Linked DNA regions of Xenopus tropicalis. The protein of the gene in region 1 purifies or fractionates together with the protein of each later gene. This does not show direct contact. Links are inferred from orthologs where the notes say so. Each region holds a gene or a part of one and is shown on either strand. Other genes may lie near its edges.

Region 1 (3,942 bases):
CAGGGATACACAGTAAGGCAAGTAAAGCAGGCAGACTGAATCACAGCTACTGAGCTAAATGAGCAAGCCACTAGTAGACACAATAGACAATAATTTTATGCCTAATAAAAGAAAACTTAATTCTAAGCAACTTTCCAATAGCAATTTATTAAAAATTAGTAGTGCTTTAAAAGTTCATTGTAAATGTAATTGCTATTGAAAGCAGCATTTGCTGAACTCCTGGTTGTTACTTTTTAAACAATGTTGTAAATGCCAGTCTCCTCCAGTAAGACAGGTCTGTCAATCTGCTGACTTGTGGTTACATTGTTTCAAACGCCAGAGCCACCAGGGCAGAGAATAGAAAAGGACAGACAAACACTGCTGTTAATAGCAGTTATATATACAAATAACTCAAAACCAATTACAAATATGTAATTAATGTATATTGCAAAGTTGCTTAGAATTATGTTTTCTTTTAGTAGGCAAAAAATATTTTTTGGAGTTGACATGTCCTTTAAAAACCAGATTGCTGACACTATTTTAACTATAGCACCATCATACTTTCCCCCAGGCCCCCCACCCAAACCACATAAGTTACAACTGCTGGTGACTCCTGTAGCACATAGCGAAGTGCAGAGTTGTGTACTGGTGTTAGATGCTAACATCTTGGCCTGCATCATTTTGTTTCCTGTTTAAATCTTTGTGACATGCACTCAGTAGTCAAAGACTGCAAGTCAGCACAAATCATAGGGATTCAAACAAAGAATGCAACTGACATGGTACTTGATATGGGATGAATACTTAAATTCTGGCAGCTGTCAGTGATGTGGTTCAAAAGGGGCCCTGAGAAACCATGCTAATTTGTAAACTGATGGAATAAGTTACTTTAGGTTTCTAAATTATTTATAAGTAATGTTTACATGGTATGAAGATTCTTAAAGTATATTCTTTAGATCATAGAAGGTGCAAATTACTTTTAGTCTGGTACCACATTAGTTCAAAATGACTTGATCAGATGCAACCCTAGCAAAATACTGTTGTAGATTTCCATGTGAGTACATATATAGTATTTGGTAATGGTAAAGACCTATACTGCAGTATAAAATTTGATCTAACACTATTAGCTGAATCACACCTCCAGTATGTGACCTCAAAAGGAATGCATTTATGAGCAATAATGTGACTAGACCTAAAAATTAATCTTCATCTGAGAAACAGTAATTAAGGAAAAATGTGGATAAGGACTAAATGGGGTAAGTACAGTTCTAAACAGTAACACTGATACATGACATCTATCACAATGCCTGTTACACAGTACACCATCTGTAGCCATATGGCACAGGTTTGTCATCAACAAACTACTAAGGACATCAACTGTTCTACATTTTCAGCATCAGAAACTCAAGATTCCAGGAAGCTAAAAATAAGAATGTGCACAGGGAAAGGGCCTGTTATTTTCAGTTAGCATCACAGTGACCAGCACTGAAGGCAAAGAGCCAGAATCAAATGCAATGATTTGGGGAAATTTATTATAGTCTGAATAAGGTTCATGCCTTTCTTCTCAGGAGTTTTAATTTGATCCCATTAAATAACCTGACCTTCTGGATTTTTGCTACATTTGCTTATTTATAAACGCATTGCAAGCTTTCCTCAGTTGGCTTTCTCAGCTGATGAAATCCACTATTTCCTATGCCAAATCTTGCAGCTATACCAGGGTAACATGCAAAGTTGTCTGAGAAAAATAAGCACTGCATTCATTTTAATGCAAGTCTATGAGAGGAATTTACAAGTTGCTCAAACCTTATCCTCGTTGTTTCCATTGCTAAATAATTGCGGAAAAGATTTTCAGATTTTTTTCTAGTGGTAACCATCATTAAAGCAGAAACAAACTAAACATTTAACAGCCATATGTAGGGGCAGATTTATCCTAGCTCAGTTAAGTTTTCTGGATACCGTTGCTCATTTTTGATTTACATTTTTATAGTCTTGAAAAATTTGTTTCTGTGTGAAGAATATCGTCAATCTTCATTTTTTAAACATGCAATATGCAGAGCGCATAAATGCACACACATGCTTTCGCTGCAGTTTAAAACCATCAAAATGATTTTTTTTTGTAAGTTATTTACAATAACATTTTCTTTTATTATCTAAAACTGTATTTTGGGGGTTCCATGTTATGTGCAATATTTTATCAGTAATATTCAAAACTGAATTAAACAGATAACAGCAATGAAAAGTAGGCCCTCTAGCATATTTTGAAAGGCCAAACATTAGGGGTTGCAAGCAGAGAACAGCCGGGTCTCCCTGGCACAGCGACTGTATGCGAGTGGGCTTGTGGGAGAAGTCATAAGCGTCCCAAGGCCCCTGAACTACACAAGTACAGGACTTGGAGTCCGTGTGGCCAACCGGCCGCAGATGCTTAGGAATGAGGCAGACTGCCCCTAGCGAGCTCTCAGCACATGAGTGACAATGAACAGGTGACAAACCCGGTACTCTGTCCCCACACACTGCGCTGCTGCTGTGCATGATACAGATGTTTTCCCTGTCAAGCTCCTTCGTTACCTTTCCCACTGCCTGGAACCTGCATTTTCCCCTCACACCGTCGCTTAGTAAGTGAGAGCGCGTCCCCTGCCACATCTCCCCGCTGTGCTCGCTCATGCTTACCAGGTGTCTCCTCTTCTGAGAGGGGTTTTCAGCAGGGCTGACACTTCGGATCTCTGAGTCTCCAGATCCACCACTCCGCCCTCCGCCATCTTACTCCACTGACAGCTACGCGCTGCATTCTGGGAGTGACGTCACGTAGGCGAAGTAGGGAAAAAGCGCGTTCCCGGCTGTGTTGTTGGAAGAAGTCGGACAGTGGGTGGGCACAGTGTGAGGTGCTGAATGATGTGCTGCAGACAGTGAAAACCAAGTTATTATAGACCTGGATGATACTCTTCTAGTAATACATTGCCTTGTGTTCTTATATTTTAGATTCATTCGAATACATTACGAAGATAGGGTGAAGAAAGATATGTAGCAAAATTCCCCTTTTCATCAAAAATTTGGTCAGCTCTCCCCCTTTAGTTTAAAACAGTCTTAGATATATGGGATTTGGATTTGCCAATCAGCCAAATATAATTCAGACATTTGAGCTTTAAAGGAACAGTTCAGTGTAGAAATGAAAGTGGGTAGAATAGACTGGGCAAAAAAAGTGTTTTCGACTGCAAAAAGATGTTTTCAATATAGTTAGGCAAAAATGTGATCTATAAAGGCTAGAGTGGGCAGATGTCTAATTAATATGAAACAATGATTTTTTAGTGTGAATGAAATGTATAGCCCACTCCAGATACCTTGTGCTTCCGTTTAAACCAGTGATCCCCAACCAGTGGCTCGGGGGCAACATGTTGCTCACCAACCCCTTGGATGTTGCTCTTAGTGCCCCCAAACCAGGTAGTTATTTTGAATTCCTGACTTGGGGGCAGTTTTGGTTGAATAAAAAGAAGATTTCCTACCAAATAAAGCCTCTTGTAAGCTGATAGTGTGCATAGAGGCTGCCTAATAGCCAATCTTAGCCCTTATTTGGCACCTCCATAAACTTTTATAATGCCTGTGTTGCTCTCCAAGTCTTTTTACATTTGACTGTGGCTCACGCGTAAGAAAGGTTGGGGACCCCTGGTTTAAACAATAATACTTAACTCTGGAGCGCCCTCCTCTGTCCAGACTTCCCAGATGAGGTCTTATGGGATAAAAGAAAAAAAAAATATATATATGTATATGTATATATAGCGTAATACAGTAATATAATATTGATAATCACCCCTCCAAATGTGTTTGTATCCGAAACAAATCACTACCAAATTCACTTCACTTTTCTGTGAAAACACATAAATACAATCCACTGCAAAGTGTTTAACGTTCATGTCTATTTAAATAAGTGAATTTCCGTATTTCACACTCTTCAGTGACTTCCTTTTAGCCTTA
Region 2 (3,979 bases), on another chromosome or scaffold:
TGTGGGTGTGTAAGGGTGTGGGTGTGTAAGGGTGTGGGTGCTATCAGTAAGGAGGTGTATGGCTGAGAAGGGTGTAAGGGCAGGGAGGGGGTGTGAGGATGAAGCTGATTAAAGGGATACTGTAATGATTTTTATTGGGTACTTTTTCATTTCTAAATAAAACTGTTACATCAAATAATTCCCTCTAAACTTTTATTCTGGAACCAACAAATGTATTTGTAGCTGTAATATTGGTGTGTAGGCGCCATCTCAGTGCATTGTGCCTGAGTCTGAGCTTTCAGCCAGCGCTACACATTAGAACTGCTTTCAGCTAACCTATTGTTTCTCCTACTCCCATGTAACTGGAGGAGTCCCAAGCCGGACTTGGATTTCTTACTATTGAGTGCTATTCTGATACCTACTGGGAGCTGCTATCTTGCTCCCTTCCCATTGTTCTGCTGATCAGCTGCTGGGGGTGAGGGGGGGGGATATCACTCCAACTTGCAGCGCAGCAGTAAAGTGAGACTGAAGTTTATCAGAGCACAGGTCACATGGCTGTGGCACCCTGGGAAATGAAGAATATGGCTAGCCCCATGGGAAAAACAGATTACAATGCAGGATTCTGCCGGAGAAGCTCTATTAATTGATGGGGTTTTGGTCCCATTTTCCCCATAGCAGTATTGCTTTAAGGAGGAGGAAGAGGAGTAAGTGGGGGGGGGGGGGGGGGGGGGGGTGACTTTTACCAGAGGCAGATTTGTGGTTTTCTTCTTTTTATCTGAAATGACAAACAAAGGAAGCAGTCATAATTATATATATTATTATATATTACATTATATTTCTGTGTGTGTAAGTATATGTCATGCGTACTCAATCTAATTGAATGAGCTGTAAGCAAAGAGCTGATTGGTCTGACAGACTTACCGACAGTAGCACCTCGGTTCCGGGTCTCCGGTATCCGATCTCCCCGGACATTATTTTAACCTTTTCACTCTCCGCAGCGTCCCATCTCCAAGACGACCGGCCGCTGACCAATGGCCTTCCCTTTCGCCATAGACTCCACCCCTTCAAGAACTGGCAAATATCTTTAGGTACTACAGTCGGGCTCACGGATCACTGAGCCAATGAAAGAAGCGCTTTATGTGATTAGCAGCTCTCCGCGCCCATAGGATTTCCGCAGACTATTGGGGGGCGGGACCTGTCATTTGGCTTTCCTGTAGTGACGAAAGTCTTGACTGCGCGATTTGCGCATGTGTGAAGGGAGGTTGGTCACATCCGGGATTTCTGGGAGGAAGATGGCGGCGAGGGTAAGATGGGAGCAAATATAGGAATTGATAGAATGAAATAGGCAGGGGAATTAGTAGCTAATGCAGAATGGGAGTGAGGGGGGCAGAGAGACAGAGTCATAACTGAGGTAGCAGGGAGTCTGCTGAGCCCGGGCTGTGAGGGAGGCGCTATATAGGCTGATACTAGGGGCGGCAGCAGGGAAGGTAGGCTCTCTGTGGGACACTCACTCGCCTGTCCGTCTTATAGTCACAGAGATAAAATAAGGGGCATATTATAATGTGGAATAATCTAGTGAATATATATATACATCATCTCCCTGCAGCCCTCCGGCTGTTCATCTCCCTGCAGCCCTCCGGCTGTTCAACTCCCTGCAGCCCTCCGGCTGTTCAACTCCCTGCAGCCCTCCGGCTGTTCAACTCCCTGCAGCCCTCCGGCTGTTCAACTCCCTGCAGCCCTCCGGCTGTTCAACTCCCTGCAGCCCTCCGGCTGTTCAACTCCCTGCAGCCCTCCGGCTGTTCAACTCCCTGCAGCCCTCCGGCTGTTCAACTCCCTGCAGCCCTCCGGCTGTTCAACTCCCTGCAGCCCTCCGGCTGTTCAACTCCCTGCAGCCCTCCGGCTGTTCAACTCCCTGCAGCCCCCCGGCTGTTCAACTCCCTGCAGCCCTCCGGCTGTTCAACTCCCTGCAGCCCTCCGGCTGTTCAACTCCCTGCAGCCCTCCGGCTGTTCAACTCCCTGCAGCCCTCCGGCAGCTGCACATTGAGATGTAGTGTGAGAGGGAGGCAGAGGTATACATGGGCATATTGAGACATGCAGGGGAATACATGGGCAGGGGGGCAGATATAGATATGGAGAGATGCAGGGGAATACATGGGCAGGGGGGCAGATATAGATATGGAGAGATGCAGGGGAATATATGGGCAGGGGGGCAGATATGGAGAGATGCAGGGGAATACATGGGCAGGGGGGCAGATATAGATATGGAGAGATGCAGGGGAATACATGGGCAGGGGGGCTGCAGGGGAATACATGGGCAAGGGGGGCAGATATAGATATGGAGAGATGCAGGGGAATACATGGGCAGGGGGGCAGATATAGATATGGAGAGATGCAGGGGAATACATGGGCAAGGGGGCAGATATAGATATGGAGAGATGCAGGGGAATATACATGGGCAGGGAGGCAGATATAGATATGGAGAGATGCAGGGGAATACATGGGCAGGGGGGCAGATATAGATATGGAGAGATGCAGGGGAATACAGGGGCAGGGGGGCAGATATAGATATGGAGAGATGCAGGGGAATACATGGGCAGGGGGGCAGATATAGATATGGAGAGATGCAGGGGGAATATACATGGGCAGGGAGGCAGATATAGATATGGAGAGATGCAGGGGAATACATGGGCAGGGGGGCAGATATAGATATGGAGAGATGCAGGGGAATACAGGGGCAAGGGGGCAGATATAGATATGGAGAGATGCAGGGGAATACATGGGCAGGGGGGCAGATATAGATATGGAGAGATGCAGGGGAATACAGGGGCAGGGGGGCAGATATAGATATGGAGAGATGCAGGGGAATACAGGGGCAGGGAGGCAGATATAGATATGGAGAGATGCAGGGGAATACAGGGGCAGGGGGGCAGATATAGATATGGAGAGATGCAGGGGAATACAGGGGCAGGGAGGCAGATATAGATATGGAGAGATGCAGGGGAATACATGGGCAGGGGGGCAGATATAGATATGGAGAGATGCAGGGGAATACAGGGGCAGGAGGGCAGATATAGATATGGAGAGATGCAGGGGAATACATGGGCAGGGCAGGGAGGCAGATATAGATATGAAGCATAATACATAAGTAGAGAATGGAAATCAGATACAGGTGGGGATATGAAGACGGGTGAATACATGGTATGAGAAGGTAGGCAGGAATAAGTATGGAGAGATGCAGAGGAAAGTGAGAAGATGAGAGATTGTAGAGATGTAAGAGGGGTTCACGGGAGACAGCGAGGCAGAGAGTGATGGGCAAATAACTGGAAAAAGCAAAAAAATCAGAAATGTGGAGGAAGTGACAGAGGGGAGAAAGCTTTGGGATGGAGAGGAAAGAGGCGAAGAGATAGGGAGTCAGAGGGGGAGGAAGAGAGATTGAGGGGTGACAGATAGATGAAGAGGAGGCAGAAAGGGAGGCCAAAAGGTGAAGAAGGAGGCAGAGAAATGCAGACATGAATGGGGCAGTGATATTAATGAAGAGAAATTGAGAAGGAGACACAGGTGGAGAAGGAAGAAACACTGAGTGGGAGAGGGAGACAGAGGTGGAGAAGGAAGAAACACTGAGTGGGAGAGGGAGACAGAGGTGGAGAAGGAAGAAACACTGAGTGGGAGAGGGAGACAGAGGTGGAGAAGGAAGAAACACTGAGTGGGAGAGGGAGACAAGTGGAGAAGGGAGAAACACTGAGTGGGAGAGGGAGACAGGTGGAGAAGGGAGAAACACTGAGTGGGAGAGGGAGACAGAGGTGGAGAAGGAAGAAACACTGAGTGGGAGACAGGTGGAGAAGGGAGAAACACTGAGTGGGAGACAGGTGGAGAAGGGAGAAACACTGAGTGGGAGAGGGAGACAGGTGGAGAAGGGAGAAACACTGAGTGGGAGAGGGAGACAGGTGGAGAAGGGAGAAACACTGAGTGGGAGAGGGAGACAGGTGGAGAAGGGAGAAAC
Region 3 (4,255 bases), on another chromosome or scaffold:
TATGGGGGGCTCTGTGTATTGGGGGGCACTGTGTATGGGGGGGCACTGTGTATGGGGGGGGGCACTGTGTATGGGGGGGCTCTGTGTATTGGGGGGCTCTGTGTATTGGGGGGCACTGTGTATGAGGGGCTCTGTGTATGAGGGGCTCTGTGTATGGGGGGGCACTGTGTATGGGGGCACTGTGTATGGGGGGGCTCTGTGTATTGGGGGGCACTGTGTATGGGGGGCTCTGTGTTTGGAGGGCTTTGTGTTTGGGGGGCACTGTGTATGGGGGGGCTCTGTGTATGGGGGGGCACTGTGTATGGGGGGGCACTGTGTATTGGGGGCACTGTGTTTGGGGTGCTCTGTGTATAGGGGCACTGTGTTTGGGGGGCACTGTGTTTGGGGGGCTCTGTGTATGGGGGCACTGTGTATGGGGGGTACTGTGTATGGGGGGTACTGTCTCCCCTGTGTGGGGGGGCAAAACTGGTAGATAGTTATATCTCACTTATATTTATTATAACATTTGTCCTCCCTGTGTGTAATTGTGTATATTGTAAGATTGTACAGCACTGCGTACCCTTGTGGCGCTTTATTTATAAAGTTATACATACATACATAACTGACTGCCTTCTCTCTATATTTGTATTTTATATGTAGGAGTTGCTATATTGTTTTCCCTAGGTAGTACAGTATGAGGGTATAGCACATTTGCATCTGATCCCACCATTTCAACTATATAAAAGGAGTATTTTAAGAACAAAATGGGGTGTGTTAATTGCGGCGTGATCACAAAAGTGGGCGTGGTCAAAAAAATTTGCCACGCTGCGCACGCCAAATCTTCTTGTCCCTCTTTTTGTTTTTCAAATGTTGGGAGGTGTGCCTTATATTATATTTAAGGGTTGGCAGTGTTATTTTCCTATCACACTATAAAGAACCAGACATTGCCATCAGCAATTGTGGTGCCCCCATACTACTCAGACCAAGCCCCATGGGGCCTTCTTATATATTTATCTTTCTTCCCTATTAATAGCATTGACATCAAGCATCACTCATTCATGGCCAGTTGGCAACCCCGCCAGTTACCTGGGCCCCACTCCATGATCAACCCATTATGACAATGCCCCGCCCATGATTCACCCAAACCCCGCCCCCACAGAATTGCGCCTCTGACTGGAGCAACCCCATGTTGGCAGCCCTAAATGTACGTGTCAGTATAGACAATTAGGCTCCTAAAAAACTGCAGCAGTAACATCGACTTGTAAATAGAATCTTGAGAAATGAAGCCCCAGATAGCTAGGTGCAAGGATATATAACATGTGCTAGAGTTGCATTAGTACATAGGTAGAACCCTCCCTTCCCCCAGGCCCTATGGCCCCACCACACGCTGCCCCCTCACCTACCACTTCCTTTGTCTCTTCCACTCATTAATATGTATTAGGAAGGCGCGTATGAATATTCAGTGGTGAAACTCCCGCCTACCCGCGCTGGAACGTTCCTTTCCATTTGTGACGTACTGGCTTTGCGCCGGAAGTGTCGGGTTAATGGTGAAATGGAGGCTGAGGAGAGTAGTTCTTCGGTGGTTCCGCTGCCGCAAGATGTTCAGTCCGTTGTGCGGGGAGGGTTCCGGTGCCTCCTGTGCGGGGTCAACATCCCAAACCGTGGGTTTTCCTGTTATTGCAGATAGTAGCTCGGATACGCCTTTCCCTCTCTCCCTAGCAAACTTTCCTATTGCCAACCTGTGGCGCCCTGGCTGGCTTATCCTCATCCCAGGCGCTGTAGTAGCTTAGCTGCTGCAAAAGTCGCTGCTTAAAGTCCACACTAGCGCTTTGTTTAGCATTCTGCTCCTTCCTACAGTGAAAGTAAGGTCTTTATACCCCTCCATGCAAACAAGTATAAACGTGTATCAAGCCCTAGGCACATGAACACAATGTGTTTGTGTACATAATATCGCAAAAGTTATACTATATTCTCTAAAATACTAGTTAGGAATGGGTGGGCTGATTTATCAGCGCTTAGAACAGTAAATAAGGAAGGGCAACATACTTACATGTGGCTGACTTTGCACCCAAGCTTTGCACAGCTACAGGCACACGCCTCACACAGATGCAGGCTACACACGGCTACTTTAAGCAAAATATAATGAAAGGCATTTAGGGCACACACTGGCATAGTCTTTGGGTGTATTGTCCCTATGTAGTAAACTCCCAGTGCATGTCGCCTACTTGCTAATGTTATTTGGCCACAGGCAGATGAGCAGGCCACATGGGTGCCCTTTATAGGTGTTAGACCTGGGGACCAGGGTGGCTCTGGTCCCCTACATTTCTGTCCTGGTTCTGAATGCTGAGCTGGGCATGCAACAGGGATATAAAACAAAAAACTTGCCCCTCTTGATCAGATATTTGTGGGCTAGACTATCACTCTGGACAGTTCGGGGCCAATAAGCAGGCAACTCAATCTGAAGTGGTAGAATTATGTTCCAATTATAACCAGAATAACATCTGTAAGATTTTAATCACCCACTTCACATGTGGCTTCTCTCTGACATGATAGAGTACAGCCTGCTTGGAAAGGGTTAGTTGCTTTAAATGAACTTTTAGTCTGATGTAGAGCGTCACATCCTGAGACAATTTGCAATTGGTCTTTATGTTTTTATTTGTGGTGTTTTTTGTGGTTATTTTGCTTTTTGTTCAGCAGCTCTCCAGTATGTAACGTCAACAGATATCTGATTGAGTCTAAATTACCTTAGCAGCCAGGCAGTGTTTTAAATGAGAGACTGGAATATGATTAGGAGAGGAACTGAACAGAATGATAATTAATAAAACTAATAATAATAAAATTGTAGCCCTCACAGAGCAACAGATTTTTGGCTGCCGGGACTCAGTGACCCAATTGTAAACTGAAAAGAGGCAGAAAACTCTATTAAAAAATAAAGACCAATTTAAAAGTTGTTCAGAATTAGTGATTAGTGCTGAACTAACCCTTTAAATTCCATAATCTGCTGCTACTGTTTGGTAAAGGTCACCCTAACAAATGGCATTCGTTCTTACTCTCCTTTTTCACTGCTGTTTGTGCTAAAAGTTGTGCTGTGCAAAGTTTTTCAGCAGCCTAAATAGCTGAGACTTCATTTCTCTAGGTCCAAGCTTAACAGATCACTTGAGTGGCCGGCGTCATGTGCGGCTATGTGAGGAGCGAGACAAACGCAATCAGCAGCAGGAGCGCAGTGTGTATGTCAGTAATTTCCCACGTGAGACATCTGAGGAGGAGCTGAGGGATGTCTTTCAGAAAATTTCTCCTGTCAGGAACATAGTGATGGATAAGGATCGGGTAGGAAATGACTTCCTAGTACCTAGTCTTATAATATATTACCTAGTATAACTTCTCATTTTGTTACACTATTTCATAGCTATGCCCTTCAGAGCTATTATTTTATTTGAAGAAACTTTTTAATTTATTCTTGAAACAATAGGGCTCATTTACAGTGCCCCACGCAGTGTGCAAAGGGAAAAAAGGGCACACTTTGCCCACTGCATGGGGCATTGTGAAATTGGAGCACAGAAACTGTGGCTTTCTTCACTAATAAACCACTGTCTGCATTATTCAGCGAAGTGTTAGTGAATGGTGGGTGGAGGCGCGTAGGCATCCCTCCTATCTGCCCATAGACATGCAAGGTACAGAGTGGCAGGAGGCAGTAAGGCCAAGAATGGGAATCACCTTCTGGCACTGCTGTTTGCATGGAGTACTGGACTTATGATCCGTTGCTCCATGCAAAGTGCAAAACACACCTGGGTGCAAGTGCTCTGTAGATGAGCACAAAGGGCCACTCATGCACCCTTTAGTGCTCTTGAAATTGTGCCCAGGGGTTTCCTAAAATGACCCCTTATGTAGCAGATGTTGGCCTTGCATAGTTCTTTACATGTCTGTTAATCAGGTGGCTTCTGTAACTTTGCTTGTAAATAAGACAGAGAGTGCACATCCATATAAATAAAATGTTGGGTGCCAATTCAATATAACTGACCTAGCAAACAGCTCCCGAGCAGTCACAATGAAATGCAATGCAAAATTTAAAATTCAAAATCTTGGTTGTGTTATATTTATCTCTTAGTTTCCCTGCAGGGCCTTTATGCAATTGTGGAGTTTGAGAGTAAGGATGGCATGTGTGCAGCCTTAGAAGAGCCTCAAATAAAGCTTAGTGGAAAACGTTTGCGGGTAAAACCACGAGAAAAGAAGGAGTTTCAAAGGAAAAAGGGAGGCTCACCCCGAACATTGCAACCTC
Region 4 (4,200 bases), on another chromosome or scaffold:
CCAGACCCCTGGACTATTTACAACCCACCCTAATAAACCTTAATTACTTTCACTATCTTCACAAGTTATCTCTATCTATCTGTAACTTCCTAATTTATTGCTTGTAAACACTTCTCTCTGATCTATCAGTATAAATATTGTGCCATTTCAGTTCTCATTTGTATTTTGCCTGATGAAGGGGCCTTAGAGCTCCAAAAGCTTGCAATGTATTTTTATTGTTAGCCAATATAGGTATCATTTCTACAATACTCTTGTATTTGTGTTTTGTTGTTTTTTTATTATTATTTTTGACACTGGCTAACACGGTACTACAGTTTTTGTTTTGTGACCACTTTAGACTGTGTGTAAAAATGTACTTTACACTTTAATATTGTGCTTGAAATGATAAAACTTTGATACATGATTAAGGGGTATTACCCTGATGAGCCCTGTAACCTGGTGTTCACCTGTCAGGCAAGAGTTAAACACTTGTATTTCAACGGAGCCCAGTGACTATATGTTTCTGTGTGAGGACGAGACCTGAATCTCAATAACACTAAACTGTAATCCATTAACTCCTTGCCACCCATTTGTAAGGAAATTAAGAGTAAAATCCAGGATTGCTCCTTATGGAGTGAAACTGAAAAGATATGAAGCTGAGGTGCATAACGCTATCTGGGCTATACACATCATTAAGCACATTATACGGATTGGCATGGCCCCCTGTTATAACACAAGAGTCTGGAAGTAACCAACATGGGCGCCCCCTAATGGCTTCACGCATGGTTGCTTCCACCTACAGACAGGACTGAGCGCTACAGGGAAACCGCGATAGGTTGGGGGGGGGGGGGGGGGGGGGGACTGTACTAAGGAAACAAGGGAACAGAAAAGAAACTGACAGCGGGGGAGAATTTTTTTTAAGCCGCGACAGAAAGGAAAGGCTGAGGCTGTGTAGGAAAGGCTGAGGCTGTAGTTTGCGCACTGGCCAGGAGAAATCACACGTGTGAAGACTAGTGTAGATGCCCCCTCCCTGAATCCTGTCCGTCTGGACTGTCTCATTTTCACCGTAGAGCTCTGTCCTCTTTTCCCTCGTTCTGTACATGGCTCGGCTTCCCCAGAACCTCTGCAAAACTGATGGTTTCCTAGCTTTTCCTTCCCTATTATCTGTTCCATTTTCTCTCCTATCGCAGTCTCCACAATTTTCACCCCCCTCCCAACAGTTGTTTTTCTCAGTGCCGGGGGTGTAGAGCATGGGGGGGTACCCTGGCGCTATGGCTCCGCCCATCTATCCGCATATCCAATGGCAACCTGCCATGAGGGCGTGTCTATGATGGCATGTACCGATCACGTTTGTGCCGAGCCAATGGCTGCCTTGTGGGCCGGCACTCGCTGCTTAATAAATGTATGTGAAGGTGACGCTTGAGCAAAGGCGAGAATGGGAGAACCCGAGCTATAGTACAGAATCCTGCAACTCAACAGCCCTCTGCATTACCAGCATCCTCACCTCTATCTTCCTGCCGTCCAGGTACCTGCAGCCTCAGTCTCTATCAGTCCCCCCTTGCCAGCCCTGCCTATCCTCTCCATTTCCAAGGTCTTTTCTCTTTGCCTATTGTTGCTGCCTTTATATCAGCCCTTCCATGCCATAACACAGGGATTCTTGGGCTATTGGCCAGGACCACAATATGGGCCCCTTGCTGTTTGGAGTGGGTCTCCATCACCCCTCACCTTTAATGGGACACTTCTATCTACAACAGCAAATGGCAACTGTGCATAAAGTGCATAACTGGAGTGCTGAAGCTGCCATAACCTGCTTGTTGTTGGCATAGTAGCAGCCTTGTACCATAACTTTTCATTTTTAAGCTTTTATAATCTTTATTACTGACTTGTATGTATAGTACAGGGATTAATTGCCTTCCTTTTGTACCATCCCTTTCCATTGTATAGTCTTTATTGCCTGTGTGATTGTAGTATAGTGGCTCCCCCTACATTCCTACCCACCCTTTCCATCCCATAGACTGTATTGCCTGTTTGCTTATGGTACAGTATATGCCTTTATTATCAAACCTACCCTTTCCATCCCATAGCCTGTATTGCCTGTTTGCTTATGGTACAGTGTATCCCTTTTTTATCAAACCTACCCTTTCCATCCCATAGCCTGTATTGCCTGTTTGCTTATGGTACAGTATATGCCTTTATTATCAAACCTACCCTTTCCATCCCATAGCCTGTATTGCCTGTTTGCTTATGGTACAGTGTATCCCTTTATTATCAAACCTACCCTTTCCATCCCATAGCCTTACTGCCTGTTTGCTTATGGTACAGTATATGCCTTTATTATCAAACCTACCCTTTCCATCCCATAGTCTGTATTGCCTGTTTGCTTATGGTACAGTATATGCCTTTATTATCAAACCTACTTTTTCCATCCCATAGCCTTACTGCCTGCTAGCTTAAGGTACAGTGGCTGCCTTCCCCTTTTCCACCAAAAAGCCACCAACAGCAGAGATTCCTTTCCAGAGCAATAAAAAACAACATTTAATTTTAATTAATTAAAGGTAGATTTTAAACTTTTCCAGAAGCATTGAAAGTAAAGGGATTAAAATAGTGCAGTACACAAGCAGATATAGTAGTATTGTATTTATAATAACTTTTTATTTTACTTTCCTGGTAATATTCAGTAAGCTATTTCCCAGAGAAATCCATATTTATTTAAATATTTAAGATTATTAATATGTGTTGAAACTGTGGTACTATTCCTTCTAAGACCCTTAGACTCAAATGAGACACTGCCCCCTATGGGCCATAAAATGAAAGACTACAGATATCCTTGTTTATTTATACTAGCTATGTATTAAACTAAGGTGATATTAAGTTTGATTTCAGAATCCTTTATTTTTTTTAGTACATCCAGCATCCAGTTTACTACATTTTTGAGTGTGGTTCTTATGCAGTCAGTTACTACCATCTGAGGTTTTGTGAGATCAATTGCCAGTATTCTATACAGATTTTTCCATGAAGCTCTCCAGTTGTTTTTGAACTGAATTTGCTATGGCCCACTTGATATTGATGTTGCTGGGAAGGGTAATTCAACAGCAGTAGGATGGCTGTATGTTGGAGTTCCCTGATGCCTGTTTATTATGTAAGCCATTAGCTCCCAGCCTGTATGTGCATCTGTGTGCCTTTCGCAGTGTTGCTGGATGTGTGCAATGTAGCATAGTAACAGATGCCACAATATGTGCCTCAGTTAATATCCCTTTGTTCTGTGCACCTGTCTTTCTTTCCTGGCTACTGATTTCCTCTGGGTATCTCTGTCCATCCTACCAATGTGTGCATATTCCTTTCCGCTCGGTGCATCTGCCTATCTCTCAACTGTACTGTAGGTGCAACTGCAAATCTCTCCTGATTGCTTTGCTTTGTCTTGTAAAGCTCTAGGTTGCCAGGGGTGACATTTGGTTATGCAATGAAAAAAAATCCATTTGGCAAGTCATGATTTGAAGACAAGATTTTAATGTACACACTGGTGCATAATTATTTATAAAGCTGTTTTATGTTATGAAATAAATGGTGTATTTTTAAATCTTCATTATAGCTATAAAGCATAAATTAGCACTATACATTCTGATTGCACAAATTGTCTATTAAAGTGCTACTTATGGCATTTATAAATGTGTGTATATTCTTTATTGCCCAGCTAATGCCCATTATGTCAGGCCTGGCTTATCATATTGAAATCAGTAAAACAAGAATGCAGAACACTTTCTGGCATGCAAAGCAATATAGAATGTTGTATGGAAATTGGTGGCACTCGCCACTGGATTTTATGGGGCTTTTTTAAAAATAATACTAGTTTTTATACCATAAAGTTACACCCCACTGTACATATACAATTTATTACACAGCTTTGTAAATGGTCATGCCTTTACAGCATCACCTCCTGCGGCTCCTAGGAAACGTGCATAGTGGTGCATGTAATCCCGAAAAGTGCCATGTGTGCCATCAGCCTAAAATGGTTGTGTGTTTCAGTGCCATTTTTACACACCTTTATAAACATTGATTTACCATTAGCTGATTAACATTATTAAGGAATATAAACTTTAGAACAAAGTTGAGACTTTGGGGGTTTCACTTCAATCAGCGCAGCTTAATAAATTCATAACCTGTAAACCAAAATATTGGTGTAATCACATCAACATTGAATAACATGCAGTACACTAGAATGCA

What was found.
Region 2: the proteins of usp15 (region 1) and rnf40 purify together in Homo sapiens (affinity purification with mass spectrometry; 4 studies listed by BioGRID and IntAct, with this or other methods). This does not show direct contact. The link is inferred for Xenopus tropicalis from reciprocal best matches to the Homo sapiens genes USP15 and RNF40.
Region 3: the proteins of usp15 (region 1) and tut1 purify together in Homo sapiens (affinity purification with mass spectrometry; 4 studies listed by BioGRID and IntAct, with this or other methods). This does not show direct contact. The link is inferred for Xenopus tropicalis from reciprocal best matches to the Homo sapiens genes USP15 and TUT1.
Region 4: the proteins of usp15 (region 1) and glutamine synthetase purify together in Homo sapiens (affinity purification with mass spectrometry; 3 studies listed by BioGRID, with this or other methods). This does not show direct contact. The link is inferred for Xenopus tropicalis from reciprocal best matches to the Homo sapiens genes USP15 and GLUL.

What each region holds. Positions count from the first base shown.
Region 1 is NC_030679.2:62,759,274-62,763,215, forward strand, and holds the start of usp15 (ubiquitin carboxyl-terminal hydrolase 15), read right to left. Parts: upstream 2,812-3,942; 5' UTR 2,733-2,811; coding exon 2,644-2,732; intron 1-2,643. UniProt on the Homo sapiens protein: Hydrolase that removes conjugated ubiquitin from target proteins and regulates various pathways such as the TGF-beta receptor signaling, NF-kappa-B and RNF41/NRDP1-PRKN pathways.
Region 2 is NC_030685.2:13,703,971-13,707,949, reverse strand, and holds the start of rnf40 (E3 ubiquitin-protein ligase BRE1B), read left to right. Parts: upstream 1-1,179; 5' UTR 1,180-1,283; intron 1,284-3,979. Other genes in the region: ccdc189 (coiled-coil domain-containing protein 189), read right to left, coding at 723-754, 901-951.
Region 3 is NC_030680.2:36,819,967-36,824,221, reverse strand, and holds the start of tut1 (speckle targeted PIP5K1A-regulated poly(A) polymerase), read left to right. Parts: upstream 1-1,455; 5' UTR 1,456-1,531; coding exon 1,532-1,640; intron 1,641-3,115; coding exon 3,116-3,306; intron 3,307-4,084; exon of another isoform or gene 4,085-4,095; coding exon 4,096-4,255. UniProt on the Homo sapiens protein: Poly(A) polymerase that creates the 3'-poly(A) tail of specific pre-mRNAs. Localizes to nuclear speckles together with PIP5K1A and mediates polyadenylation of a select set of mRNAs, such as HMOX1.
Region 4 is NC_030680.2:100,273,100-100,277,299, forward strand, and holds the start of glutamine synthetase, read left to right. Parts: upstream 1-1,400; 5' UTR 1,401-1,504; intron 1,505-4,200. UniProt on the Homo sapiens protein: Glutamine synthetase that catalyzes the ATP-dependent conversion of glutamate and ammonia to glutamine.